Linked DNA regions of Caenorhabditis elegans. The protein of the gene in region 2 purifies or fractionates together with the protein of the main gene of each other region. This does not show direct contact. Each region holds a gene or a part of one and is shown on either strand. Other genes may lie near its edges. The genes, in order: mec-2, unc-24 and mec-4.

Region 1 (9,680 bases), on a different chromosome or scaffold from region 2:
TTCGTACTTTCTGGAAATTCATGCTCTGAAAACTTCAAAAATTTCAAATTTTTTGAAAGTTTGAAGCTAAAATTCAAATATTTCCAAATCTTCAGATAATCCGAAATTAGAAAATTTGTCGGATTATTAAAAATTCGCAATATTTAGTTTGTCAAGACTGTGGCAATAATTGTGTGAGCTGTTCTTTGATGATAGAAATAAAGTAAAAATTTACAATGCAATTTTAACGAATTACAATTTCCTAACCAAAAACAAGTAGTATGAGGTTTTTCTTAGGGTTAGTTTGGTTTTTTTTTTCCAAACAGCAGCTGACATGGAACATGAGAGCTGTGCAAAAGAACAAGAAGTGGTAAATGTTTTTGAACATCATTTTTATTTATGGAAATAAAATGGCATTTTCGGTACATAAAAAATTTTTATATTCAATCATTTTTTAAACAAAAAGTTGAATGTAAAGAACATTCTAAGTTAAAAACTGGAAAAATGGAGCAGAAGAGTAGGCCAAGAGGGGCCTGGCATTATTTCATGAACTAAAATTAAAAATTTCATCCACGCTTCACTGGATGACTTCAGAGAAGCAATTTCGGGAGCTTTTATGAGTATGAATGGCGGACTGGCTGAATTGAGTTGACTGGTATAAATATGAACGTTTTGTTGAGAAGTTTATGAAGAAACCGCGTTTTTTCTTCACTTTATTTCTCAAGTAAAGGCAGGTTCGGTGAAACCACTTTTTTTCGAAAATTCGAACACTTTTGTATCGAAATAGCTCCGAAAATAAATTCACTTTGAGCTGTTGCTATAAAAAAGAAAAGAGGTTTTTGAAAAATTGAAGTGAAAAAGTTATTCTGGTGCGGATTTCCTGGCTTTTTTATAGGTTCGTTGCCGGCCGTTGTTTGGGTACTCATGAGAAAAAGAATGGATTATTAGTAGGCGGGCAGAAAAAAGTTTTGGATTCAGTGGATGAATGCCTAAGTATTTTTTTTTTGCATATGTGGGGGGGGGGGGGTTTGTTAACAAAATTTAGAAAAAACTGAGAAAGTTTTTAACAATCACATTTTTGCTGCAAAAAGGCAAGAATCAAAGAACATTGGTTCAAAAACGAGGGTGAAAATCTTGTTCTCGTCAAGGTGATATTGAAGATTAGCGGATTCCATTTCAATAAAGGAATGCACAAAAACAAAAACATCTTGAAAATGAGGCAAGAGATTATCCAGATGAGTAACATTAGTTGCGGATGACTAGAAGATGTTTGACTTCAAAAATAGTAGTATCTTAGTTTCTTTTTCTATATTTACATGTTGGCAGGAAACAGCAAGAAACTAGGTAAAGTGGAGATTATTAAGGGATTTCGATAAGACGTAGATATTTATTGTGGACCTATGGACAGCAGTGAAAAAATGAAATGTGATGTGAACACGATATTTTACAATTTTTGCGTAAAAAATTCGGTTTGGTACCCGCAAAAAGTGTGAGCATTCAAATTGTATACTGTACATCCAAGAGCTTGTGTCTGCGTAACCTTTTTAAATAAATTTTCTGCCGTATTTTTTGCGGTTTGTTAAGATGATGTGTTTTTTTTAAGGCACACACTTTTTTGCATTTAACAATAAAGGCTTGTCAAAAGACAATACGGACTGGATAATACAAGAAACAAACGTTTAGTAGCGTATGTGAACCGTCTTAACACTATGGCCAAAAATTGCACACAGTGTGCACAATGTGCACATTGTACACAGTGTAGATAGCCAATAAGGTGCGAGGAGGGCGAATGAAGAGGCGTAGAAAAGGCGCCCTTGTGTCGCCCCGACAACACGGAATGTATTATAGTGATGTATTTCAAGCTTGTTACTAACAAACTGAATTTAAAAAATGATATACGATAGCCACCTTATGGCGGAAATATACTGATCATGGGTTATTTTTTACATTTACATTTTTATTTTTGAATGCATTGCTTATCACTCACCTTTTTGCATAGCTTGAACTATTCAGAAAAACAATAAAACAAAAATTTACTTGGCATACAACGATACATAGCAATCATTTACAAGATTCACACATGTTTTGGTTTTGTTTGAATTTAGTTTTTTTTTTTCATTTCTAAGAATCCTGGGGGTGAAGCCTAACCAGTACCAGATTTTTTCCCATTCGCCGGATCGTCTCTGCGTCGCATATGGATAATAGGTGTAAAGAAAATCTCTTGGTAGAGCATTTTGGAAAAAGTTTGAAATTTTGTTCTAATGATGTAGAAAATGTGTAGAGGAAATCAAATTGAAAACAAAACAAAGTTATTGAAAAATGGGTTAGCTGGGAGTTAGACACAACGTAAGAGATGGGGAAACTCCTGGACCTTTGGGACTTGTCAACGTCTTTTTAAATTGGGCAAAGGGCAACTTGAAACAATAGACTATTATTTTGTTTTATTTTCTCGTGTGGGTGGAAGGAAAATCTTCTCTTACCTCCCAGTGGCTCGGTCGGTGGTCTTTTCACATCAGTGTGAATACGTGGGATATACGGGGAGAATTTGAATTCGCGAGGTGGTGGAACGGAAAACTTTCGTTCGGCCGGATCGTCATACATTATTTTTTACAAGTATTGAATCGTTGAGGACGGTGTTCCAGAATCCATGTACACGGAATGAAATGAGCTATATTAAGTCTTGAGAAGGGTTAGCGAGGATCGTTGCATAAATATAAAAACAAACTGAGAAATATGAAGAATGAGCTCAACAAAAAGAAAAAAACGACTAAATAAAACGAGAAAGACAAGCATCCTCATTCGAAAAAAAAAACCTAATAACAATCATACAAAAAACAATACACCAAATAGTGTCAGTGATAGTGGGCACTAATGGTGTGTATATATTAGAATCTCATTGTGATTTTTGAGATTTATTCTCTCTCTCCAATCTAAACTTCACGAAAATAAGCAAAATAAATTTTTATCCAGATGAGATCTGAATTGTGTAAACAAATGATCCATTTGATCCTTTCCTTAAACTACAACTAATAAAACAAGATTGACTGATTTATAACTTGTTTTCCTGTCGAAAAACACTAGTCAGAGGGAAAACTATTTAAAATCACTTAAACTATGCTAAAATTACCAAATATCGTGGTAAAATTTTTTAAAAACATTTTTTAACATTTTGCAGTCGAAAAATGGTGAAAAATCACCATAATGTTTGGAAGTTGACCAGAAAAATTTTTTCTACATAAAATGTTTTAATCGTGTTTTGATAATTTGATGTATGCTTATTTTGAGGAACTACTGAAAAAAAAAGTTTAGGAAAATATATGAGGAAAACTATTGGCAACTTATGGGGTTAACTGTGAAGCCATTTTCCATTTTGAGAAACAAACGTTTTCTGAGAAAGCATTGCTTTTTTACTGAAATTTCGAAATTTAGAGATTTGCATTTATAACGAATGGCCTAAATTGGTTGTGTTGAGAAAACGAAAAAAGAGCAGGTAGACTTTAAAACCACACCAATGTTGCATATCTGCTTCATGCCTAATTCCATTGTGTGGAATCAAGAAAGAATAGGACGAAAGCACTTTTATGTTTAATTAAAGATTTTTCAGACATAAAGGCCAAAAAAGAGAGAAAATTACGTTTTCTCGATGATTGCACTCAGAGTAAACATTGAACAACTAGAGAAAGCGTAAAAATTTAAGAGGGAATGCTTAAATTCTTCGAACCGAAAATTTTTGTTTAAGAAGACGAAGCTCATAGTGTGACTAACTTCTTCTGACTATGTTTTTGTTGCTTTTTTTGGTTGCAGTGTTCTCTACTGTGATAAACTCTTTCACTCTTCCAAATTACTTTTCTTGTAGAAAACTTTAACAAAACAAAAAATGTGAAAAACATCGTTTCTAAAATGAGATTTTTGTTATGCCTTACTTCGACGACAGGAACAATAAAAAACTTAAAAATAATTTGTCTTTTCTCAGAATTCTTAAAGTCAATCTTTTTGAACGGGTTATTTTTTAATTTTGTGCTAAAGAAAATAAAAACTGAATTTTGTTACAAAACAGCCGCCAAAAATATTTTAAAAATAAAGGCAGACCGAGAACGTGCATAATATTCAAAATGATATGTCAAGAACACCGTTTGTTTTTTATTTATATTTTTTCTTCAAACAACACCCAAACTTTCAGAAAAAGGGAACAGGAAAAAAAGAGTCCCGCGACAAAAACCGACTAAGTTGAAAAACATACAAATAACCGAGGCCCGAAAGAGAGGCTATTTTCCAGAGGCAATATACATCTGGCTTATGAAAGCGAGAAAGAAAAATGAGGTGCGTAAACTACTTTCAGACATAAACTCCTGACAGGGAGGGGTTCGGGAACAGACAGAAGACGAAACAAACAAGTAGAATTCTCATTTACTTAGCGACTGCTTATCTGCTAAATATGTCTATTATTTTTGTCGTCAGTCGGGTACCTCGTGGTGAGCTGGAACGCTGGGAAATACTAAAAACTGAAAACTGCGAAAATATGTGGAAAACACCGGTGCGAGCAGGATAATAAAAGGGAAGTTCACGATAATTTGAAAGAATGACACTTAAAAGGAACGTCTAACCGGTGCTGCCATTTTTTATAAGTAGTAAACAATCGTACTGATATTCAATTACTATTAATGAGTCGGTAAATTTGCTGTTTTCAACCAGATTCGAGAATCGTTGAGTTCAACGTAGTTAATTGTTAATTCACCTTAAGCCTTAAGCTTAAGAAAGTCTGTTGCTATTTTTTTTGTTTTGTAGGAACGACAAACGCGTAATGTTACAACATCTCCAATTTCTTCAATATATAGTTTCTAGTTATTAGTACTGATTTCTTAATTTTCGTTTATAAGATTTAAGAACTCAGTTATATCAAACAACTCAACTTGCTACAAGAAAAAAAACAAAGGAAAACCAGAATTGGAGGTGTTACAACTAGTAATCAGAATTTGTTATTGAATTTCATCATGAGAATTGGCGAAGCACGACGACATGTATACGACAAGAAATAGAGATCAGAAAAAAACAGGATCATTGAAAATTATGAGCCAGCCTGTGTTGAACTTGACTGTTAAAAATAATGAATTTTCATATTATGTAGAAGTCGAAAGGTGAGAAACTTTGCCGTATTCTATGTAGGCGCTTGGGTCTCGCCAAACAAGGGATTTTTAGCATTTTCAAAATGTAGCATGAACTCAGAAATCGCCACTTTTTGACTGTCTATAAAACATTTTCAAAAACTGAAACGTTTTATTATTATATTTGGTTGGTTTTTATTTACCAGTAGTATTTCACAATTCCACTGGCGCATTCAAACGTTTAAATGATAAAGAATATTACCGAAGTATATATAACCAGAAACTTGTGAGACAAATCGGTACCAAGGTTAACTCGAATTACATTTAAGCATTACTTGTCGGCTAACCGCATTTCCTCTATTTGTATTGCACTTCACTGTTTTATTTTGAAAAATTAAATTTAGGTTCATTGTGAGAATACCACTAAATGATTAACTACAGAACAATGAAAATAGAAACAACACAGCATTCGTCATTTGACTTTTTTTCAAAGATATAACAAAGGACAACTAAGATATGACCCAATAAAATACTGTATTTTACATCAGTTTTCAGAAATTTAAATAATTGAATAAGTTGTTAAAGCTTTAACAACAGCGTGTCACAATTTTAAACAATTTCGAACATTTTTTTAGAGTAAAGCAGCATTTTGAACCTTAAAGTTGTCACTTAACAAATGAAAGCACGAGTTTCTACATATGTATGACTAATTCAATCAAATAAGTGACAAAGATTGTAGTTTCTACCTTTTTCCTCTTTTCCATTTCCTTTCTCCACATCCTTTTCAGCTTGCTTTTCTTTTTTCACCGAGTCATCGTCGCTGTTGGCCGAGATGATTGATGTACTCTACAGCGGAAACAAATACGATAATCCGGAAACCAAAAAATTTAATAGACACACACCTCTTCAAGTTGCTGTAAAGTCCTGGTCGCCATATTCTCAACTTCGTCCGATGACGTTGATAAGAGATCATCGTCTTTGGAGCTGGATGATGGGAGCATGGCGCCCTCCTGTTGAATACTAGAGCTCCGTTCGTTGCTAACCAATCGAGTCTCGACCTTGACAGAGCCGTTTGAAGATAGTGAAACGACCGAATTGCGAGCTGATGACATTGTGGCGCTCATAGATTGAATGTGTGGGCATTCAGTCACAGACTACTGGGACACGATTCACGAATGACACATAAACACTCGGCGAATAGTGGGATGTACTCTCGAATGTATGGATTTCGTTGAGCAAGCCGGGCTCACACCCCAAAAAGAAGACGACTCTGCTCCAATTGGTATATGACGTCCCTGATTACAAATGCAAAGAAAACAGTTAGGGGTAACAGTGCAGCGAAGAACTTGCTACTAGCCTATTGTCTCTGGCGTGACTTGTCCATTGTAATGCAAGAGTTTCGAGAACATTTTCGTTTTGGGATCTTGAAGTTGCCAGAAACTTGAATAGTAGGACTTATATGCATATGTTAGGTCGGACTTTAGAATAGTAGTTTCTTGGGAAAAAGGTCAGGCGGGAAAAGGCGAATGGAAACAGTGAACGGGAAACCTGGGAAGCTGAAAATTTTCTTGAAAATCGAAACGCTTCGAAGCCGTAAATTAATTTCAAATGATATAGTTTTAAATAACTATTATTAGAAATACATTTAATCATGAGATACATAATGGTGGCTGAAATAACTCTTCTGTAACTCTTCTGAAACTCTCAACACTCTCTAAATTTGTAATTAAAAGTAGTCCACGTTTCTTATCAGATTCCTCACGTTAACGCAATTTGTTTATGAAAATTCCTAACTTTCAATGTTACCTCTTGGGGAAAACTATGATAATTTTAGGTTGTATGAAATTAAAGAAAATGGGTCAAAGGGACAGAGTGCTGTAAAAAACTCTTTAAAAAATGATTATGCAATTATCCAAATTCTTTATGATTTTTAAATTTGCAACAAAAAATGGTTTTAAAAAATTTGATACATTTTTGGATGATACGACCTACTTTTAAAAATGTGTTCTAAAATATAAATGTATGATTGGATTGAAGGCGGAAAATGGAAAATAAATTTTAAAGTTTAAAAAACCCAAAAATAAACATACAGCTTAATTTCCACAATTTCCAAAACTCAATTCAAAATAAAGATAGAAATAAAATGTATCGAAGAAATGTTTTGTTTTAATTTTAGAGTATAAGTTTGTTTTACTATGATATTTAGCCATAACATTTTAATAACCCCTATTTTCAAAACAAACAACTATTTACGAAACGTATTTTTTTGCATATGGTCCTTTTTTGACAACTGTTATCAAAATTGTCAGTATACCCTTTTTTGTTAGTTCGAATTTTCCATATTTCTTACTTTGTATTATATTTCTTATTCATGAATTCCTCGTGTAAAAAATTAAACTAGACACACAATTTACAACATCTAGTCCTTTACGATTCACTGCATTTTCATTAAATGCTCTTTTTCACTCCTCCTCCTCCTGACTATATCCTCCTCCTTCTGACTTCTTGTTGTATTGTTTATATGTTTCCCACGCCATCGTCAAGAATAACTTTCGAAAAAAGACACAAAGATGGATTATGTGAAACTTGAGATTTTTTCATTATATTTTTAAGTATCATAAAACCATTGGGAGTGTTTTGAGAAACAACTATGACGAATGCACAAAGCCATTTGAACTAGCCGTTTTCATCTTCAGATTGGTTGCGAATTCTCGTTTTTTTTTGTTTTGAACACACTCCAGTTGTTGCTAACTGAGAGTGCGGAAACGTGTCATTCCGGTGTGAAGCGTTTTTTTTGCAAATACACATAACGTATGGAAGATGTATTTCATGTGTGTATGTGTTATGAAAAAAGGATGCACACCAATTGAATCAACCTTGTCGTTGCGGGGGCTTATTGAAAAAGTTGAAAGTACTTGAAGTATCTGACAATTTTGCAAAATGGGAAACATAACGTTAACACTCTTTGGGTGGACGCTTTTAGGTGCTCTCAGGAATTTCGAGCTCTCGTCTCACTTTTCCTAGCCCTCATTAACTCATTCTTCCTTTTCTTCTCAACACACAGATTTCCGACTTTGCCTCGAAAGCGACTTCTATGGCCATCACGCAATCAAGAATAGCAGAAGCTTACTCTGCATTAAAAGTAAGAGTGTAAGTGAATGTCGAGCGAGGATTTGATGAATAAAACAGACTTTCTTCTTGACAGCCTAACTTTACTCGTTTTTTATGTTCTGCTCGCATTTTTTTCGAAAATGTTCGCGGCGGAAAGGATAAGAAGAATAAGTGGATATGCCGAATTTATAATCAGAATTCTCAAAGAGGGGCTTTCTTTTAAACTTTTCTTCCCCTTTCTCTTATGTGTTTCCCATCACCGAACACGGAGCTTTGCAGCAAAAGTTACTCAGAACCCACTTCCAAATTCCATAGAATATGATTCATGGGATTTTAGAGACGGAAGGAGTGGCTAAGAAAAGATTTGGTTAACGAGCTGCCAATTTGGATGGGTAATGACTGGTTAGATTTTGTTTTCCCAAAAGTTCTCAAAATAAGCAATTACGAAGGGAAGGGATGTCTTCAAAAATTGGCTTAATCAACATTATATGAACTAAACATTTTGTTTTCTTTTGACTGTTCAAACAAATGTTACTGCAGATCGGAATTCGTATATAATTTGGAAATTTGATTATAGGGTCTGATCATAGTATCAAACCACATTACATTTATAATATTATTTAGATTAGTTTAATTTAAATAACAGAGTGAAATGCGAAAAACAAGATACAGAAATATCACTTACCTGATAACAAATCAATGCGTTGCCCGGAAAATTTGCCGATCAACTGTGCAGCTTCGAAAATACTAGGTGGAGTTGGCTTTTTCGGATTCCTCCTGCTATCTGCCATTTCGGCCATTCGCTCCCGAATGCTTCGCTTCCGGCTCATCGAGGATTCTGATGGGGCGTGGAGACTGGACGCTGCTGATAATGCTGATAGTTTGCGATGCGATCCGGCGCTCGAGCACTCGTCCAGTAGGCAACTGCCCACGTCAAGATTCGACTCCATAATTATACAAAGTTAATTCAAGATAAAATGAGGGAAGATGCGAATAATAGATAAATATAGATAACTGGGATTGGAAATTGCACAACTACGGAGATGGTAGTTAGCGGGAGTTGTAGGACAGAAGGTGTCCAAAGATGAGTTATTGAGGCTCCGCCTGCGCTGTGTCACACTCTCGCGCGCCCGAGCACACGTTTCTTAGCGCTGAGGGGTGGAGCCGAATCGGCTAATGGCTCAATTCGCACCCCGAGAGCAATTGGTGCATTGCCGCAAAGACAAGAACGGATGTATAGGAAGCTGTTTTTCGGGGCGCGCGCCGTTGACTGACTTGAGCCTCCTCATCTCTCCCGGACCAATTAATTAATTTGTTGAATTTTTCGGCGGCGACGCATCTCTCACTATTTTGTCGTTTGAGACGCGAGGTGGGTGGCCTTTTTTGAGAAAAAAACGCGTAGGAAAAGTGAGGAACGCCTATTTTTGGGGGAAAATTTGAGGAGGAACATCATCTGTTTTGAAAGTAAAAAATAAACAAAACGATATG
Region 2 (9,305 bases):
TAAAGTAATCATGCTTCGGAGTAATTCTAATTAAATTTTATTAATTAAGCAATGAAAAATTTATAAAATAATTATTACAAATGATACATTTAGTGCTTTCCTCCACGATGTCCTCCTCTGAAATGTGGACGACTCTTCCACAAATCGAAAAGTTCTTCCTTGGCCTTTTCGCTGAGATCTCCAAGAATTTCAAACTTCTGCTTGTTCAATGCTTCAATCTTTTCATGTGCCTTCTTTGCTTCATCAGACAATTTTGTTTCCTTCTCCTTGTATTCCTTATCTTCCTTTTCCTTCTTCTCCTTGAACTCCTTGAATTTCTTCAAGTTATCTCCATCAAGTTCCTTCTCAGCAAGAGCTTCAATCTTTTCTGGCTTCTCACTCCATGGAACTGATCTGTCCTTGAAAATAGCTTCGAATTTTGCAAGTTTGTCTTTTGGAAGTCCCTTAAGGAATGGAAGAGTTGGTCTTTTGTGAAGATTTTTGCGAGCATCCTTTGGAAGAGAATCGATAACTTCACGAGTCAATCCTTGTTCCTCATAACACTTATCTCCTTCTTTGTAATCCTTCCAGATATCATTAATCTTTTCCTGGGCATCTTCTGGAAGACTGTCCAAGAATGGTGGAATTCCACAAGGTGGAGATCTCTGGAAAAAATTCGTTGATAATTGAAAGGATCGCAAGACTGTAAAGGCCTAAAAGCTATTCTACACTTTCATCCGATAAAGATTTCGGAATCTTTCATTCTCAAGTTCAAAACATTTATTTTTCAATGTCTAGCTAGAAAAAACAAAAAACAGCGCATAAATTGAATAGAAATAAAACTTACTCTTCCTCCAGGCTTTGCCTGAACTGAAACAATAGCTAGTAGAATAGCGAAAAGAATCTTCATGGCTGAAGATGACTGACTTCAATATCAAGAGTTGGAGATTTTATACCCAATTTACCGTCTCGGCGAATACAATAACATTGGAGGCGTAGACATAGAATGAGATGAAGAATAATGATAAATTCATTTGGAACAGATCTTTTGATTTGGTCATCGTTGTGTGTGGGTTTGGAAAAGGTTGACAACTGAAGATGTGTGGAGTGTTTTTTTGAATTAAAACATTTTGAAGATAGTGGAAGAAGTCAGAAGAAAATAAATCATTTGAAAGAAACATCAAGTTTAAAAGTAGTTCCCTCATTTTAAATTGAACTTATCAAGAGACATCGGAGTCAGGTAAATTATATAGTTTCTAATCTGAAAGCAGAACATTTCCAACTGATCTTGCTCTCTTTTCCCGCTGTTTGGCGCACACTTGGCATTGGAAGATTGTGCTCAAAATGTCCAGGTTGTCTTTTCATCGAGCTTTTGCCAATATTCGGAAAAGATTGGCCAGAATTGATAACAGAGGCTTATCCAAATCCTGCACAAGCTTTACCAAAGACTTTCCAAGTTTTCAACCAGATTATTATCTTTTTGGGTTGATTTGCTAGGTTGGCGCCAAACGCCTGGAGATATTGGTTGACCTATAATATAAAAATTGATAACTAATAAGACACAAATTGAACATTTTTTGTTTACAGAAAAACATGTTTCGATTGATGCAAATTCTACAATCACATTGAACATTTGAGGATTAATTTCTAAATGCTGTTGGTGTATTTTATCTCGAATATTTCATTTTCCAGTTTCTCACCAAACCTTTTCCAAACCATTTCATTCTTTGTTCAAATCACATTCAATTCCCATTGTTTTAGCCAAATCAAAGCAATTTGCTGAGACTGAAACTTTTAATATAAATTTAACATTTTAACAATACAAAATATTTTATACTGTTCAATTCAGATATTCGACCAATTTTTCATGTTTCATTTTTAGAATATTTTGACAAAATCCCAAGTGGCGCTTCTCCAACAACCGTAGTTTTTAGACAGGGTAGAACATGTTATGTAAATGAAAATACATTAAAGTCAATTGTGTTTTTTGTTTCACTATATTTTTTAAAGTTTGTTCATTATCAATAACTTTTCAATGTCACTTTCAACACATTTTTCTTGTTGGCATACACTGCACGTTGATCATCAAAGTTCAATTGAATTCAAAAAATGATTCTTGTTTCAATTTCTATCAACTTGTTCTTTCTGTAGAACTGGTGATGATCTTCTTAGATGAAACTGAACTATTACAAAATTGACCACACAGTCATTCAAATCTTCTTTGGTCTTCGTCGAATCTTTAAAATGAATGACATCATCAGCAAGTTGTCATAATGAAAGTGAATAGCTGTTATCTCCTTTCTTTTGTCGAGTGTATTTTTCTTCGAACGGCAAAAAATGATATGTACCGAACGGAAAAATGGGCGGCGCCTTCCAAAACAACAACAACCGCTGAGATCAGCATCAAAATCGGAGAAAGGGGGTATGTTTGAGTACAGAGCACTGTTTGGCGAAGGGTTCGGTTTCTGAATGGTATAAAAGGACAAGAATTTGGATGAAAAGGACATCATTCAACAATGATTTCTAATATCTTTAAAATCTCAGCTGCTCTTCTTCTTTTGACTATTGTATCTGAAGCTAAGCCTTGCTTCGGAAGATGTGGAGGTGTAAGTTTTTCTTCTTTTTTTTTAATTTCCAAAAATTCTGACAATTTAAAAAAGCTTTTATTTTAGGTTTAATTTTTTGGTTTAATTTAAGGTTTAATTTTTTAAATGCTACATACATTTTACCAAAATTCAAATATTCGAAATTGAAAAATCCAACCTAAATTTAAATTTCGTTTTATGCTCAAGAAATTTCATAGAAGTTTCTACTTTAATCAGCCGCTAAGTGCAAATTAATGAACTGTATTTCCTATTTTAATAGCCATATAAAACTCCGTCTCAAACTACAAACATTCCAGCGTCCACCACCACCATGCGGACTTCCACCATTCCTTGAGGATCTTCCTTCTGATGTTCAAACCAAGATAACTGAAATCTGGAAAGATTACAAAGAAGGAGACAAGTGTTATGAAGAACAAGGATTAACTCGTGAAATCATGGAATCTCTTCCAAAGGATGTTCGTAAGAGCATTCACAAGAGACCACCACTTCCATTCCTTCGTGGACTTCCAAAGGACATCCTTGCCAAGTTTGATGCTATTTTCAAGGATAAGTCAATCCCATTCAGTGAGAAGCCAGAGAAGATTGATGCTCTCGCTCAAGAAGTTCTTACTGGAGATAACTTGAAGAAATTCCAAGAATTCAAAGAGAAAAAGGAGAAGGAAATGCAAGAGTACAAAGACAAGGTAAGAATAAAAAAAAAGATTTTTACTCAAAAGGATGTTGAATATCATTCTTTCAGGAATCGAAGCTCTCCGCAGCTGCCAAGGTAGCCAACGAGAAGCTTGAAGCTCTCGGAAAACAAAAGTTTGCAATCCTCGAAGAACTTGATGAGAACGTGAAGGATGAGCTTTTCGATTTGTGGAAGAGCCGTCCTCATGGACCACCAAGACATCACTAGACGATAATTTGACAGCGATTTTTGTAAATATCTATGACAGAATTTTATTCATTCCCGATTTCCCGATCACTTTTAATTTATATTGAAAAATACATATATTTAAGATTGAATAATAAAGATTTCTATAAAAACTTTTGTGTACAAATAATAATTGGTTCCCAAATCTAAAGATGGAATAGTAAAGATATTATTAAAATATACGTAAATTGGGCGAAAAACATTCTGAATTTTTAAATTTTCAAATGTTTAAAACATGGTTTTGATAAATTTCCAAATTTTCCAAAGTGTTTGAATTTTTGAGCTAAAACTCAAGAATTGCTCCAAACTTAAACCTACAATGTGTAAATACAAATTTCAAAAAAGCTACTTTTTTTGGTCGACTTCCAAAACGTTGGCAGGTACAACTGAGTTTCTACCATATTCAGACTGTGAAATAATTTCAATTTTTGAAAAGTTTTACTATGATATTTGTTCATTTTAGCACGATAGGAGTGGTTTTAAAGTTTTCCCCACCGCGCGGTGCACCGCCAATACTTTACCTTGAGAATTTAATTAAAATGTAAAACTCGTAGAACATACTTGTTGACTTCCAAAACTATAATAGATTAAAACTGTGTGCATACACTTTTTCATGTAAATAAAACACTACCGCCTACCTTTAAAAAAATTTAAATTACAAAGTCTTCAATTTTGACTTCAACAATTTCCAACCTAACCCCTAAATTTTCTCATCGTATTCTTGGTTTGTAATGTGTGACAGACACCCTACCATTATCTGTGTATGAGTCTTTTGGGACACTCTTCTATCCAATGTCATCCGTCCTCTCAAATGCAAAAATAAATGCATTTGTGCTCACGGAGCCAAAGAATCGATGTGTGGTCCCGGACGCCAGAGACGCAGACATTCGAAACGACTAAAGCAGATGCTCAGTGTTAGAGCTCTTCGTCTCTTTCTCACACAACTACTTCATCTTTCTCTTGCTCCATTCAATATGACGTTCTCTTCTTCGTACAAATATTCGGCGCTGGCGCAAAACGATCCAGAGGCACCAGAAGAATTAGAAATGAACAGTCTTGAAGGATATTCTGCAGTCGATTTTGGTGATCCAAGTCAAAGTGTAATGGAATATGGAATGCCTGAAGGTTCATATGATTCCGTTTTTACATATGCTCCTTACAACGATCTCGATAAAATGGGATATATGGGTCCAGCAAGGTAATTTTTCAACAAAAAAACTAATTAACTTTGATATAGATGAAAAATTAAAATTTTCCAATGTTATCTTTCAGTTAAAATGGAATTAAAGTTTTATTAAATATTTTAAGAATTATAATTTAGCGATTAACTTAATTTTCATAAAAGTGTTTTACAACATGCATATGAACAATAAGAATCACTATTCAATAATTTTTCAGGCAAGGAATGATGCTGGGAAATAAATACGGAAACTTCACATACACAAGAGATTATGGTGTTAATATGGAAGACGATGTGAGTTTTTATTTAATAAATTAAATTTTGGTTTTCTTTATCAAAACTTAATGTGAAATTGAGCCATTTAGGAAATTATTTGATAGTAAAACTTTGAATTGGTTTTTTTGAAATATTTTTATTTTCAGTAAATAAAAAAGTTGAAATTACTCGGTTGTTGAAATTCGCCAAAAAATGTTCTACAATTACTATGATTTTTTTCCATCTGAGCATTGTAGGCATTTGAACAAGCAACAGTACTCTAAATTTCTTAAAAAGCATACATTTTTTGCAGATTTTGGCAAAATAGAAACCTTAACAAAAATGGAAATATCTAAACTAATTGAAACACACACGAGACAATTTAATTAAAATATACTTATGATATCTTAAACATGTTTTTTTTCAGATAAAACCCCTGAGCGCCATTGAACTGTTGATCTTCTGTGTTTCATTTTTGTTTGTTGTGATGACAATGCCCTTATCATTGCTTTTCGCGTTAAAGGTAGTAATTATAATTTTCTAGAGAACCGTTTCTCAAAATTTGCTTAATTTTTCAGTTCATCTCTACCAGTGAGAAATTGGTAGTTTTACGCCTGGGAAGAGCTCAGAAGACAAGAGGACCTGGTATAACTTTAGTTATTCCATGTATAGATACAACACATAAAGTAACAATGTCTATTACTGCGTTCAATGTCCCACCACTCCAGGTTAGCCTTGACAATATTTTGTCTAAAAAAAAATTTTAATTTACAGATAATAACCACAGATCGTGGTCTCGTGGAACTCGGGGCAACTGTTTTTCTAAAAATTAGAGATCCAATTGCAGCTGTTTGTGGAGTTCAAGATAGAAATGCATCAGTTCGAACATTGGCAAATACAATGCTATACAGATATATCAGCAAGAAACGGATCTGTGATGTAACCAGCTCACAAGATCGAAGAATAATTTCTGCTAATTTGAAGGATGAGCTGGGATCATTTACGTGTCAATTCGGAGTTGAAATCACTGACGTGGAAATTTCCGATGTGAAAATTGTGAAGGAAGGAGAGAACATGGGGATGTCTGCGTTGAGCAGCGTTGCGAAATCCGATGCTGGTCAACAGTTGTGGCAAGTTATTGGACCAGTATTCGAAGACTTTGCAAAGGAATGTGCAGCTGAAGAGAAAGCAAAAGAAAATGCACCATTAGTTGATTTGTCGGATGTTCCCTCAACTTCAGCTGCGGGAACTTCTACAGATACACCAAATATTCCTTCCATTGATATCGACCATCTTATATCTGTGGCAAGCCTAGCTATGGATGAACACTTAGTCCGTCTAATTGGCAGAGTTTTCCAAATTAATTGCAAAGATATTGAGCCCATTTGCATTGATTTGAAACATGGATCTGGAAGTGCGTATAAAGGAACTTCCTTAAATCCTGACGTGGTTTTTGAAACGAGTTTGGAAGTATTTGGAAAAATTCTAACAAAGGAAGTATCTCCAGTCACTGTATATATGAACGGAAACTTAAAAGTGAAAGGAAGTATTCAGGACGCAATGCAGCTAAAACACTTGGTGGAGCGAATGTCAGATTGGCTTTAAGAAAATATACTCATTTTCTGTTCTCTTTTTTCTCTTTAATAAATGTTTTTTTTTTAATTTAAAGATTTACACTATATTTTCTTGTCTTTCAGATATTATTTTGTACAGGAATGTTTTGTTTTTAAAGTAATATTATCTAAAATACATCCAGTCACTTAAAATTGTACAAAACAGGCTTTTGTGCGACGAATAAGCGGCCAAATCGAGAGATCTCATCGAGAAATAAATGCATTCTTCAAGGGAGGGCGCGTTTTCTGGCTGACGGGTCTCGCCACGATCGACTAATCGAAATTACACGTGTGTGGCTGGCTGGACGACATCCAGCAAATCGACGTTGCTATTGCCGATTTTTACCAAATTTTCTGGATTTTCATCATTATTAATAAATTTTCAAAATATTTAATGTTTGAAATGGATATATTTCTTGTAAAAAAGCTTTAAAATGGCTATAAAGACGAACAAAATAATTGTTTTTTGAATGAACGTGTCACATGCTTTGGAGTGTTATGTATTTTTCTTTTACTATCGTTTTTTTTAAATTCTAACTGGAAATTTGTTTTAAATTATATAATTTCAGGTGTTGAATCAGCTCCATTATGGGTTTAACAATCTCCTCCCTCTTCAATCGCCTTTTTGGCAAGAGACAGGTATGTTTTTGTAATGCTTAATCTCACAGTTTTAATGTGTTAATTTTAAGGTTCGTATATTGATGGTCGGACTCGATGCTGCCGGAAAAACTACGATCCTCTACAAACTCAAGCTTGGAGAGATCGTCACCACGATCCCAACTATCGGTAAGTATTTCAGGAAAATATTTGCATTTTTCGAATCAATGGTTATTGCAAAAGAGTCGCAAGTTCTATAATATGTGTGTTTTTCAGTATTTCATAATTCGTAAAAATTAATAATCTGATATTACAGGATTCAATGTTGAAACTGTTGAATACAAGAACATTTCCTTCACTGTGTGGGATGTCGGAGGTCAGGACAAGATCCGTCCACTCTGGAGGCACTATTTCCAAAACACACAAGGACTTATCTTCGTCGTAAGTATTCGAATCGATTTATAAATCTAAAATATTTTAAAAATTAAGGTTGACTCGAACGACAAGGAGCGTATTGAAGAATCACGTGAAGAGCTACATAAGATGCTGAACGAGGACGAACTTCGTGACGCTACTCTTCTCGTTTTCGCCAACAAGCAGGATCTTCCAAATGCTATGACCGCCGCCGAATTGACCGACAAGCTTGGACTTCACAATCTCCGCTCAAGACAGGTGAGTGGTATTCGAGATTCCGTTCTCTGTTTAGTCTTATCTGCATAGACGATCAAAATTTGAAACCGGACAAGCGTATTAATCTGATCGAATAAAAGATTGTCCACTCACGGAATAAATAAAATTGTTTCCAAATTTATAATGTAAATGAAAAATTTTCAGTGGTACATCCAAGCTACATGTGCAACTCAAGGACATGGACTCTACGAAGGACTTGACTGGCTATCCAACCAGCTTTCCAAGACCTAATTGCACAACTTACATGTCCAAATTCCCTTCTCCTCCAAAATGTGTAAATCCCTTTCCCCCATTAAAATATTCTTAACCAACAGCCACAATAATCCACGCAGCCGTTTTAATTTTGTTAAATAGAATTTGATTGTTTGATGGCACTGGGAGCTTCTATTTTCTGTGTGTTATTGGTACCCATCTCTCTCTCTCTCTCCGTCCCCCCAACTTCAAATCGGCCCGAGCCCTGTCCTAATTTATGTGATATTTGGCCGTCTTTTTTGGTCAAACTCTCCGAAACCACCACTGTGAACTAGTCGGAGAGCAATCGATGGCTGGTCCACTTCATCGCAACAGTTTAATTTATTTGAGGGTGTTGATGAATAATATTTTATAAAAACATGTAAGTGTGGTGGATGTTCATTTTTATTTATCGGAAAGAACGCTAAGTTTAATAAATTTCGAATTCCAAAAAAAGCATGAGAGCGAGATTAAACAGATGGCACAAAATTGCATAAAGTAATTAAAAGCTGAAAATAACTTCAATGTCCACATCCGAATCACCACAATGGCTTGCTCGACAGAATGTGAGCTTTTCTTGCCTTGGCCTGATGAGCTCTATTGCTCAAAGCACCTTGTGGTGTCATGTCAGCATCCACCGGAGCAGCCATTGCATTTCCCTTGCTCTGATGACCACTAACAGCGTGTTGAAGCCAACGGGTATCAGTCATTCCAGTTCCCAATCGACGTGGAGTCATTGGACGACGCCAACCATCTGGTGGAGGTTTTTCTGAAACGTCCAATAGTTTAATTTCAGTGAAGTTAGAATTTTTGTGGTCAAAATACTATTCTACTAAAATTACCGATTCCATTTTCAGCCGACAAAGCTAGGAAGAGCTCCTCGAAAACAACGAAATTGGTATTCTGCCATACAGGCTTGATAAGTCCGTACTTTTGTGACATAAAACCAAGAAGAGTGACTGATGGATTATCAAGAGCCAATTGATAAGGTTCAGTGTGTTCCTGAGAGAACATGTAATCTAGAATTTGTTGTCCAACTCCTTGGCGTTGACATGAGAAGTGAACATAAAAGTCCAGAAGACACAGAATCTGAAAAGTAAGAGGTCGAATGAAATGATAATTCAATTCACCTCTCCCTCATAAGTCTGCATTTGAGAGTCATAAAGGAATAACTTCTTTCTTCCTACTTTCGCGAATCCCATGAGTCGACTAACCTTCTCTTCTCTGAAAAATCAAAA
Region 3 (11,300 bases), on a different chromosome or scaffold from region 2:
CTTAAAATTCAACCAAACCGGAAAGTTAGAAACTTTTTCATTTGCTGCAACTTCCTGGCAACACCATAAGCTGCCAAATTGTTGCAAAAATTTTGTCCCAATCTGCCAAATACTGACATATTTATCTTTCTTTTCTGTTCATCTAGTTTTCACATTTTCAGTTGGAATCCATGAGACAACTCAATACAAAGTGGCTGTCAAGATTCTGAACCGTCAGAAGATCAAGTCACTGGATGTCGTTGGAAAGATTCGCCGCGAAATCCAAAACCTCTCGCTCTTCCGCCATCCGCATATCATCCGCCTCTACCAAGTCATCAGTACACCTTCTGACATTTTCATGATTATGGAGCACGTTTCCGGCGGGGAGCTCTTTGACTACATTGTTAAGCACGGACGGCTGAAGACCGCAGAAGCTCGTCGCTTCTTTCAACAAATCATTTCCGGCGTTGACTACTGTCATCGTCATATGGTTGTCCATAGAGATTTGAAGCCAGAGAATTTGTTGCTCGATGAGCAGAACAATGTGAAGATTGCGGACTTTGGACTTTCAAATATTATGACGGATGGTGACTTCTTACGCACCAGCTGCGGATCGCCAAATTATGCTGCCCCTGAGGTTATTAGCGGAAAGTGAGTGATTATGGTGGTCTCCTGATCATGGTTCAATGTAAAATAAAAACCAAATTAGAACTGAATAACAAAACATGAAACATGTGTTCGCAAACACCAAGACGACATTTTGCACTAGTAGAAATCCAATTAAAGTAATTGAACAAGATTAGACACAACAACTTTGTTTTGCAGGTTGTACGCAGGTCCCGAAGTTGATGTATGGTCGTGTGGAGTCATTTTGTATGCACTTCTTTGTGGAACCCTGCCATTTGATGATGAGCACGTGCCAAGTCTTTTCAGAAAAATTAAATGTACGTTAGTGTGACATGAGAATCAAAACACAAAAATGGCAAAGGATTACGACAACATACCAATTTCATTTAGACATATGAAAGCGAAATGGGATTTGAAAATTGAAATATCCCTATTACAAAAGGCACTATTACTATGTTTTGGCGCACTGCCCGGGTGATAAATGTTTGAAATTTAAATTGGAATCATTAAAAATTATAACGTTCACGAAATATGTTTTTTAGCTGGCGTATTCCCAACTCCAGACTTTCTGGAGCGCCCAATTGTAAATCTGCTTCACCATATGCTCTGCGTAGACCCGATGAAGAGGGCCACCATCAAGGACGTCATGTAAGTGGTCTTCTAAAAAGAAAAAAAAAACAAACATCGTTGCTATGAGACGCCAAGGAAACAAGACAATAACTGCTTTATATTTTCAGTGCTCACGAGTGGTTCCAGAAGGATTTGCCGAACTACTTGTTCCCACCAATCAACGAGAGTGAGGCTTCCATTGTTGATATTGAGGCTGTCCGAGAGGTCACTGAGGTATTAATCGTGTTCGATAGGAGCAGAAGTTTCTAATCACAATGAAAAGTTTCAGCGCTATCATGTCGCCGAAGAGGAAGTCACCTCAGCATTGCTGGGAGATGATCCACATCACCATTTGTCGATTGCATATAACTTGATTGTTGATAACAAGAGAATTGCCGATGAGACTGCCAAGTTGTCAATTGAGGAGTTTTATCAAGTGACGCCGAATAAGGGACCTGGACCAGTTCATCGCCATCCAGAGCGCATTGCAGGTAGGAGAGGGTGCATAGAAAAACTCTTGGTGGCAAAGAATAATAAAACTTTTGCATCGAACATGAAATTCGTAAAACAATATCTAAATCTTCAATTTCAGCGTCAGTCAGCAGCAAGATCACACCAACTCTCGACAACACGGAAGCCAGTGGCGCGAACCGCAACAAACGTGCCAAGTGGCATCTGGGTATCCGATCCCAAAGTCGTCCGGAAGACATCATGTTCGAGGTGTTCCGTGCGATGAAGCAGCTGGACATGGAGTGGAAGGTGCTCAACCCATATCATGTGATTGTTCGTCGCAAGCCTGATGCACCCGCTGCCGACCCGCCAAAGATGTCGTTGCAGTTGTACCAAGTGGATCAGAGAAGTTACTTGTTGGATTTCAAGAGTTTGGCCGACGAGGAGTCTGGATGTAAGGGTTTTCTTTGTTTAGATTGAACTTTTTGAAAGTGGAACCTGTTTAAAATATTTAGTTAATCGTTCTAGAAAATACTAGAAAATACAAGTTAGTGCATTTTTTTAAACTAAAATCACAATTTGAATTTGAAAAGCCGTAGAATAATATTTTGCAATGGTCTCTGAACATGCCCCTCTATAACCTAAGTTTCTGCATGTAGTCTAGCTTAACGTGTCACAATAATTTTGTTCAGAAATGTTTAAAACGAAGTTTGCTTTGCAGTTGGAAAAATAAAAAGGTCAATGGAAATTCTTTTTCAATAGCGTCAAGTCTTCTCAAGACGATTTTTTTTGTATGCATTTTTTCCTAATGGGTCAAATGAATATATAATTTCCACCTCAACCAATATTCATTAAAAATTTCAGCCGCCAGTGCATCTTCATCCCGACACGCATCAATGTCTATGCCGCAGAAGCCGGCCGGAATTCGTGGAACTAGAACGTCAAGCATGCCACAGGCGATGAGTATGGAGGCGAGTATTGAGAAAATGGAAGTGCATGATTTTTCGGACATGTCGGTGAGAATTAATATTTTTCTTTTATTTCAATATTTTTATTGTGAAGTATTACAAATAACTGGAATTGTATTTGGAGTGGTTGATATAGTTATAGGTTTTTTAAAAATCTTCGAGTGACAAGAAGTTGATGCCACTACCTTTAAATAATTAACGCACTAATTTTCAATGACCGAGTATTTTCAGTGCGATGTGACACCACCACCATCTCCTGGAGGAGCTAAGCTTTCCCAGACTATGCAATTCTTTGAGATTTGCGCCGCATTGATTGGAACACTGGCTCGTTAAGCACTCCTTGATGCCAACAATGCTCTGTGTAAAATTCAACTTTTCTGTCTCAAAATTTATTTCTTCCATTCCTTGTATTAAGCTTGAAACCCCCGTTTCTTATATTGGTTCACTTTGTTGCAGCTTACAGTATCTTTGTATTTTTTTTCTTGACTCTGTTTGGTTTTGCCCCTCCCCCCTTCACCTCCGTAAATGCCACGTATTTTAATTGATGCTATTCTAGTGCCGCTTTCATTTTCAGCCAATTTTGACAAGTAACCATACAAATAATTATTTAAAGTTATGACTTGACTTGTCACCCCCTTTGTTTCTGTGAATAGATTTTCCTTCAGCGAGTGATTGTTTCTGTTTTTTATATGTTTCTCTTCAGTAGTTTTTTTTTCTGTCTTTTAAACTCCCCTTCTCCTACTTCTTTGTGTCTATTGTAAGTAAAATATTAATTGAATAATTTCCTACCCAAAATTATTCAATTATTCTCATGTAAATTTTTATTTTAAGACACAACATTGCAATGGTAACTTTAAAACAAGAAAAAACAAATTCAGAAAGATCCAGACGCAATTTTCTTTGCCTTCTCAGCCTTCTTCTTTTTGTACAGAGAGTAGTTATGTTCGGCACTCATGTAGGCAGTTTCCAAGAAAAGGAACACAAATTCGCAACAGGTAAGGAAGGATATTCCGCACCAAAGACCGAGTTGTCCACCAAAATCGGCTAGCAAGTTGACAAACTAGAAATAGTTGAGATAAATTTTTTGGAATAAAAATAAATTTTTTTTTGCCTGCTCGCTAGTAGTAATTCGGCATTTTTTCGAATTTTTTTGATACATTTCTTTGATACACGTTCTTTGCCTAAATTTTTCAACTCACCCCATAAGCCTCTGATTCAGTGAGCATTTCAAAATTCAACTGCTCGTAGAACACTTCCACCATTGCTCCGTTCTCTCTCAAATAGGCCCAATTTTAAAGTGTGTTTTTTCTTGAATTAACTTACTTATAATGCTTATTACACTCTACCGCTGTACCATTACACGATCCTAGTTGAATTTGCAAAGATAACGACGGCCACTTTGCCGGCGAGTATGTAACGGAGTAGATTGACTGGCGGCATGGTTGTTGGCATCTTAAAATTGAAATTGCAGTTTTTTATTTAAAAAGTATATAACAATTCAAAAGTTACCTGCAACGGAAAGATCCGTGTAGGCCTCCCAAGTCATTCATTCTGGCGTCAAGACATTTTCCTGCAGAAAAAAATATTTATGGAGATGTCAAATTTGAAACTAACTTGCAATAGGGTCTGCTGCATCGCAATGCCGTGCATTTTCAGGGACTGGGAAACGTGGATCTCCACATCTGCACTCTTTCAGCACGAGTTGTTGGAAGCAAGAACGGTAGCAGCCCTGGAATAGTTCCCTCTGTTATCATATTAAGTTCTATATTTAATTGCTATTTTAACAAGAATCACAAAGTTTCTATGACCCATTTTTCCTACTAAACTTGCTTAAATTCTGTTTACTATTCACCTCTACCGAATATTCATAATTGCTGTAAATATAGTCCGATGTTTTGCCATCTGGCACACAATCTCCATAAGGTGCTGGCAAACGTGACATCTTTCGCTGAAAACAACAACACCATTACTCTATAAAAAGAGTTTGAATTTCTAATACCAATCGTAATCCAAATGAGGATACATATCCAGTTGGAGCAGAATAACCGAACGTATCAGGAAATGGGAAATCTTCTTTGTCATGAATAGTCAAACGAACGCCTGTGGCTTCCGTGGTTGGCATATAGTCAGACGCGTTTACATAAACCAGCATACGTAATCCGTACATGGGACCTGGAATCGGAACACGTTTTTTGGTTTATACATAACGGACTTCAAAAATTATTTTAGAAAAAAATATGTGGAAAAAATTTTGAGGAAACTAACCTGCTCGAATACTAGTCAAGTTTACTGTTCGATTATGATTGAAGGTAAAGCACGAACCAAACGCAGGGTCAATATGAGTCAGAAAATCTCTGAATAATTGAATTTATATCATATCTGAAAGCCTAACTAACGCTTCGATATCACACGCTTTTCCGTTAAACGAGCACTTGTGGACAAGTTCCCTTTTTGTAGTACTTAGCCGTTCCCTATCTTGCATTGACAAGGTAGCCATTGCAAACATGATGTTTTCCTTGGCTTTAGTGACAATTGCAACTTCATCTGTCATTCCCTGAAACTTTTCAGTTTCCACTTGATTTATATATTTGTGATTGTTACCTGAAATCCCATAGCTTCAAGGAAGTTTGGATCTTCAGTTGGAGTTCCTCCTTGAAGATATGTCCAAATTTCAATTGGTGGCGTCTTTCCGTTGTATGCTACACAGAATCTAGATGGAGCACAAATACATGGGGATCTATGGCCCTTCGCTGAAAAATTCCGATTTAGAAAAAAACAACAATAAAAATTAAGAAGAGTAAAATCAAACAAGTGAAGCTAGTTTGGCAAAGTGATTGAAAAACCTACCAGTTTTGTTATCTTTGGTGCAGAAAGCATGTTCATTGCAAGTATCACATTCGGTGGTTTCCCAGGTTCCGTTCAGAAAACAGGGCCACGCATCATGAGTTGATCTATCGAAAGCGCAAATACACCGATCGTCAAATCCCGTCGGCTCGTCGAATTTTGTTCTGAACGAGAAAAAAGATTTGTGGAGAACATTTCGAAACGTCTCATTATGAACTTCTGTATTTTGGAACCATATGAATTTCAAATTTATGGAAGGCAAAATTGAGCCTTCTCAAAAATTGGACTTATCAAAATGGACAAACTTTACCGTACCTCAAAATTGTAAGACTAGACTTTTTCAAACACTTTTTTGTCAAAGTTGTTAGACTAGACTTTACCTCTCTGATTGACATTCTTCCATCATATTCATTCCAGTAGTTGCTTCCACATCGTAATTCTCATAATGCTCATTGTCATATTCTTCCATTCCATCCCATTCCTCATCGGCATCTGTGTTCAAAAGAATGTTTTACGCGATGCTCATTTGACATGCAACACTCACCATTAATATTAAATACCTTTTTGGTAGTTGTTTCAAGTAACTCTTCCTCCTTCTCCTCATCCTTATCCTCTTGCTCACTAGACCCTTGGCTTCCACAAAGGCATCTTGCAAATCCTGGCTCAAAAAATGCTCCAGATAAATCACGTTTTCCTCGACGACGTGCCGGTTTTGTGGTGGGTGCAGGGGTGGTGGGTGGTTCGGTGACAACTTCGCGTTCCTCTTCGTGATCTTTGTTTCCTCCGGCTTTTCCCATTGCTCCATCAAATGCTGACAACGTTCGCTTTACTAAATCCACGCTTGTTGCTAAACTTGCTTTGTAAGGATTCAAATTACAAAGCGTAATTGCTGGAAAAGGTGCAGTGTCTGGAAATAAAAAAGCTCAGTAAGGAGCACATGATTTTTCAAACTACCAAATTTCAATTGAATATCGACAATTTTCTCATTCCTGTTGTATTTGTCAAGCACAGATTGAGCATTAAGATAGAGCATTATCATACATCCAAGAAAAAGTACGACCCAAACTGCTCGATAATATACGTTTGGAGCTTCACCAATCATGGGAATTCCGTGAGCAGATGTTTTGTAGCAAAACTCTTTGAAATGCCAGGCTAGACGTTTGTCATAGGGTAGCAATTTTGGATCGAATTCTCCCGTAATAAGTTCACACTGAAATTCGGAAATGTTAGATTACTCAGCTGCGACTTTTTGCAAGTTTTATTTTTTTTACCGTTTATTGAACATTTTAAGCGTTTTGATTATATTGTTCCAAAACAAAAAATCTTGGTTTTTAATTTTGGTACAGTTTTGCAGATAAGCTATCAAAGTAAAATAAACAAGTTGATTCAGCAAAAACTTAGTAGTTATAAAGACAAAATACTTATCGAAGAATTAAGAAAATACGGGCCTTCAAATTTACAGTTGAAAAACTTCAATGTATATAACGAATATTTCAAAAACTGGGAACAAAATACAATTGCATACAAAAATAAAATTTACCGTTGCAATTTGAAAATTACGTAAACTCACTTGTACTTCTGATTCTGTAGAGTTGAAACATTCGCCATAACCAAAATCTTCATAATATTCTCTTTCTGTCACAAATTTAGTCGTCTCTTGTAAGTACGCTAACGGGTCTCCATAAACCTGGGACATGTACTCGGATGGGTCCCGAAGGTGTTGGTAGTTTTTCAGGTTTTGCATCCATGACATTCTATAACTTGATAGCGATAAAAAAAATAGCATTAGCAAACTGATACTCTAAGAAAAATGAAGGAGGGGTAGTCGCTGACGACAATGATCTTGCTCATGTCTTCACATGGTTCCATTACATTATAAATGTATAGAATAGTAGATTGTTTCATACTTGTAGAATGAGAAGAAAGCTGATGGTTTTGAGGCAAGATAAGATCCATGAAAGTGTGTTGAAATGTGCCTGGTGTTTGAGATGTTCTGGTGAGGGTGGAAATGTATTTGAACATTCTGGAATTTTTTTTACACTACATTCGGTGCAATTGTTCTACGATCACAAACCTTCAAACATGAATAACTATTTTTTGGAAGGGATCACTTTTATTCGACGAGACAGTAAAAAGTAATTTTTTCAATAAAAATAGTTGAGCACCAGTCAATGCATATACAAAACAAAATCGGTATTATTTAATAAAGCAAAGTGTGTCTCAATTGCTTATAAAGAATTGTAGACAGGGACAAATAAAAAAGTTCGAGGGGATAGTTCATGAAGTTGAAAAATAAGGTTATGACGTGAGAAGATTTAGCAAATGTCCGAGACGACAGTGACTAGCTTGCCATTGACAAAAGTTGTCTTGAACTGCTCCGGAACCGGGAACTCCGACTGAAAAGGAAATTTAGATTGGGTTCTACAATCCGAAAAACTTACATAATCCCCATCATCATTGGTTTGCACGGAGATGTTCATCTCACTGGATTTGGAAGTGACAATCTCGCATCCTTGAGCCACCTTTGACAAGTACACCTGGCATCCATCAGTCTTCTGGATTGAAAGAGTTGGGAGCTCTCCAAGGGTCTAAAAATTAATAACAATAATAGATTCAGTGAATTTCGAAGCATATAGTTGACTGAACTTTATTAGTAATTTGGAAGATTTTAACGATTAAAACCAAATATTTATTTTCACATTTTTTATTTAGAAACTAATTTTATGTTCAGACGGAAAAAAAATAGTATTGTATTTGAGCTTGTATTGAAGCTTGTACAACTAAAAGTCTTCTGATTACCTGAATTTGCACAGATTGGCAGTTGACAGTTTCGCACTGAGCCACAAGGGCATCAAACACAACAGACGTTTTCTTGCACCCGTCCAAAGTAATAGAATTGGCCTTTCCGTTGACCTTAATCACAGAATTCTCACAACGGTAGATATAGACAGTCTGCTTCTTATCGGCAACATCGAGAACAATGTTTGGATCGTTGACAAAGTACTCCTGTAAATAGTTTTTCATTGATAATGCTTATTGAATATGTTTTTCAAGTTGTTGAAACACTTACCACAATCCATTGTTTTCCGTTTTCCAGCTCCTTGTGTGGTGGCTTCCTTACTGGAGCAGCTGGTTTGGCAGGAGATGAGCCGCCCTGAGAAGCACCAGCGGCTGGCACAACAGCGGTTCCTCGGAGGTTTGGGTTCTTGTGAGTCTGCATATCGGCCGTGACCTTCTTCAGTCTAGAAGTAACTCCCTCTCCCTGGTTCAACGAAGCAAAGAGAGCATCACGGCTTGCCTTGTCAGCATCTACTGGTGGCGGAGCAATGTTGGCGAAGAAGTCGGCTGGTGGTGGTGGAGGTGGTGGGGGTGGTCCTCCTGGACCTGCTGGAGCTTTTGGAGCTGATGGAGCAGCGGCAGATGGAGCAGAGGCAGAAGCATCAGGGGCGGCTCCTGGAGCGCTGTTCCAGACTAGACCAGTAGTGTGAACTTGACGAACAAACTTCTGCATCTCTTCAAATACAGCCTTCCAAGCCTTGGTCCACTCAACGTGTCTTGGATCGGTCTCCTTGAACTCGCGGAGAATTGGGTTGATGTAGAATTGAGCAGCCTCAATGAACTCCTTCACGTATGGAGCTGGGGTTTTCTTCTGAAATTAGAAGCAGTTTAGAAAATATGTATGTTAAGATTATCGAATCTTGAGCACAGTAATATTTTATTTCAACTTTTGAATGTTAACATACCACGGTCACCCATCCAAGAGCCGGAAGTGCTTCAGCCACCGAATTGAGATGGTTCCAGTGAGGGGTCTTTCTCTTCGTGTCCTTGAAATTGTTGATTTCACCAAGCAAGTTAATAACTGGAGTGAGCATCTTCTGAGCTTCCTCGGCCGATGGCTCCGATTTTCCAGCAGCAGACCATAAATAGTTGCGCATACTGGCAAACATAGCCAACACTTTTGGCTTCTGAAATATTTGTTTTACGATGTTAAACTCTTATTCTATGTTGGGTAATTTGGATAAAGATAAGGAATTATAATAGATTAGTGCAATTTTTTATTTATTTTTGTTTTAATCAATACAAAACATCATTTGAACACTCACCACAGCAGCAAGATCGCCGCCGAGTTGATCTGTCAACTTGCTCCAATTGGCCAGTGGCTCCTCGATGGCATCATCGTAAGCACGAACATGAGCTGGGACTTCTCCAGAGTCACCGGCAGAAGCGGCAGCAGACGCTGAAAACATTAACTTTATTTTAATTAATTCAAAAGTATCGAACCGGTTTGCTTATTTCTAGAATTTTTAGTTTTGAATTTACAATTTACTAAGTTTTACCTTTATTCTGATCTATAAATACAACTTTCTTTGAAGAACTCCGATGAAGTGACGGATTTTTGATAAGAATCCCGTGCAAATTGTCGCCGTATAAGTTTCTGTGTCGTCCCGTTTTTTCATTGTCTCGTAGATACCTCGGAAGCGCACGACGTGCCATTTCCTCAATATCCAGATCACTGTCGTTATCGTTGTCGTAGTTCGAATTTGGTGAAAAAGTTGAAGTCGGTGAAAACGTTGGGTTTGAGTAGTGAGATGTTGGTTTCACCGAATGTACATTATTATTCCCGTTGCTATGCCCGTGACCATGTCCGAAATGAGGTTTGTTGTATGGCATCGGGTCGGATGGCATGTGAACATTGATATTCGGCTCAATGATAGCCACTGGTGGTTGAGACGAGTCACGTCGATTTCTCGAATCGAAATCATCGGTGTGACTATTATACGTGTGACGGTTACTCGTGAAGCCATTAATTACAGTTGGACCCGATCGATTAAACACTTTTGACTCAACTGGACTGAAAATTCGCTCTGGATTCTGATTTTGATTCTGCGCCTGTGGCGGATGATATGGTTGAGGGGCAACCTCACGAATTGGGGAAGTGAGTCTGGCGAAATCACGAAGTGGTGATTGAATCCTAGCACGTTGAGATTGTTGAATGGGCTGATGTGGCTGGGGATAATGGGGCTCTTCGGGCATTTGATGATGATGATATTGGTCTTGTACCTGCTGATGAGGATGAATCCGGAGTACACGATCATTTGTCAATTTTATTGGTTCATTAGGGAACGCTGCCGAATTACGATTCGACTCCAAATACTGACTGGTTGGCCGCTCTTTCTCTCGGAAATTTACCGCTGCTGCGGCTGGAACATTCTGGTAGACATTTGTTGTTGCTTCTTTCGGCGCTTGTGCCACTCGCCGGTCTTGATACCCGCCTGTTGATACTCTTGATGAATGATCTTCTTGGTTATAGTTGACTTGATTTATCGGGTTTGGGAACGAAAAAGGATTCGATTGTTGGGCATATGAGATGATTGGAGGCGATCTTACAGGGCTCGGATCTCGTTGTTGCATGAAATTGGACGAAGAGCGTTGATACCGAGGATTAGGCTGTTCCTGAGTCGGTTCATCGTTGTGATAGCTCCGAAAGTTGGGTTGCTCAGACACCAAGGAATTACCTCTAGGCTCACGATAAGTAGGCTCTAACCGAAAGCGTTCAAAATCCGAGTTCAAATTTGAATTGAGAGGTGCATTTCTGATAATGTAATCCTCCCGGAACGATTTTGGCGGTGGTGGGTCAGTCATCCAGTTTGGCTCAATCACTCGGTTTCGGAAAAATCCATCCAATCGATGACCTTGATTACCATTCGTGCTTGCCGTGTAGTTATTAATAGAATTATGAAGTTGACCAGAGCTATTATTATGACTATCAACAGTAGAATGATTGAGGAAGGTGTTACTTGGAGTATGATTTGAGGTGTTATT

The links.
Region 1: the proteins of unc-24 (region 2) and mec-2 purify together in Caenorhabditis elegans (affinity purification with western blotting, with the first as the bait; one study listed by BioGRID). This does not show direct contact.
Region 3: the proteins of unc-24 (region 2) and mec-4 purify together in Caenorhabditis elegans (affinity purification with western blotting, with the first as the bait; one study listed by BioGRID). This does not show direct contact.

The regions. Positions count from the first base shown.
Region 1 is NC_003284.9:5,572,494-5,582,173, reverse strand, and holds the start of mec-2 (Band 7 domain-containing protein), read right to left. Parts: upstream 6,206-9,680; coding exon 5,984-6,205; intron 5,928-5,983; coding exon 5,828-5,927; intron 4,229-5,827; exon of another isoform or gene 4,174-4,228; intron 2,638-4,173; exon of another isoform or gene 2,581-2,637; coding exon of another isoform or gene 2,460-2,580; intron 1-2,459. UniProt on the Caenorhabditis elegans protein: Subunit of an amiloride-sensitive cation channel (degenerin channel complex) permeable for sodium, potassium, lithium and N-methylglucamine, and required for mechanosensory transduction (touch sensitivity).
Region 2 is NC_003282.8:7,975,408-7,984,712, forward strand, and holds unc-24 (Band 7 domain-containing protein), read left to right. Parts: upstream 1-4,462; 5' UTR 4,463-4,475; coding exon 4,476-4,699; intron 4,700-4,891; exon of another isoform or gene 4,892-4,899; coding exon 4,900-4,975; intron 4,976-5,363; coding exon 5,364-5,459; intron 5,460-5,514; coding exon 5,515-5,664; intron 5,665-5,710; coding exon 5,711-5,875; intron 5,876-5,920; coding exon 5,921-6,541; 3' UTR 6,542-6,604; downstream 6,605-9,305. Other genes in the region: F57H12.6 (DUF148 domain-containing protein), read right to left, coding at 90-644, 827-889; ora-1 (Onchocerca Related Antigen family), read left to right, coding at 2,496-2,585, 2,882-3,268, 3,325-3,483; arf-5 (ADP-ribosylation factor), read left to right, coding at 7,138-7,188, 7,239-7,335, 7,463-7,587, 7,636-7,818, 7,981-8,067; mec-17 (Alpha-tubulin N-acetyltransferase 1), read right to left, coding at 8,607-8,836, 8,910-9,156, 9,198-9,291.
Region 3 is NC_003284.9:16,799,885-16,811,184, forward strand, and holds mec-4 (Degenerin mec-4), read right to left. Parts: upstream 7,232-11,300; 5' UTR 7,231-7,231; coding exon 7,048-7,230; intron 6,688-7,047; coding exon 6,432-6,687; intron 6,385-6,431; coding exon 6,022-6,384; intron 5,970-6,021; coding exon 5,858-5,969; intron 5,642-5,857; coding exon 5,481-5,641; intron 5,384-5,480; coding exon 5,235-5,383; intron 5,188-5,234; coding exon 5,030-5,187; intron 4,988-5,029; coding exon 4,899-4,987; intron 4,806-4,898; coding exon 4,633-4,805; intron 4,582-4,632; coding exon 4,486-4,581; intron 4,363-4,485; coding exon 4,248-4,362; intron 4,204-4,247; coding exon 4,143-4,203; intron 4,086-4,142; coding exon 3,957-4,085; intron 3,909-3,956; coding exon 3,833-3,908; intron 3,694-3,832; coding exon 3,508-3,693; 3' UTR 3,437-3,507; downstream 1-3,436. Other genes in the region: aak-2 (5'-AMP-activated protein kinase catalytic subunit alpha-2), read left to right, coding at 162-630, 805-923, 1,149-1,254, 1,344-1,449, 1,499-1,706, 1,808-2,119, 2,530-2,681, 2,865-2,966; cas-1 (C-CAP/cofactor C-like domain-containing protein), read right to left, coding at 7,793-7,873, 7,919-8,065, 8,277-8,483, 8,548-9,126, 9,221-9,442, 9,581-9,714, 9,815-11,300.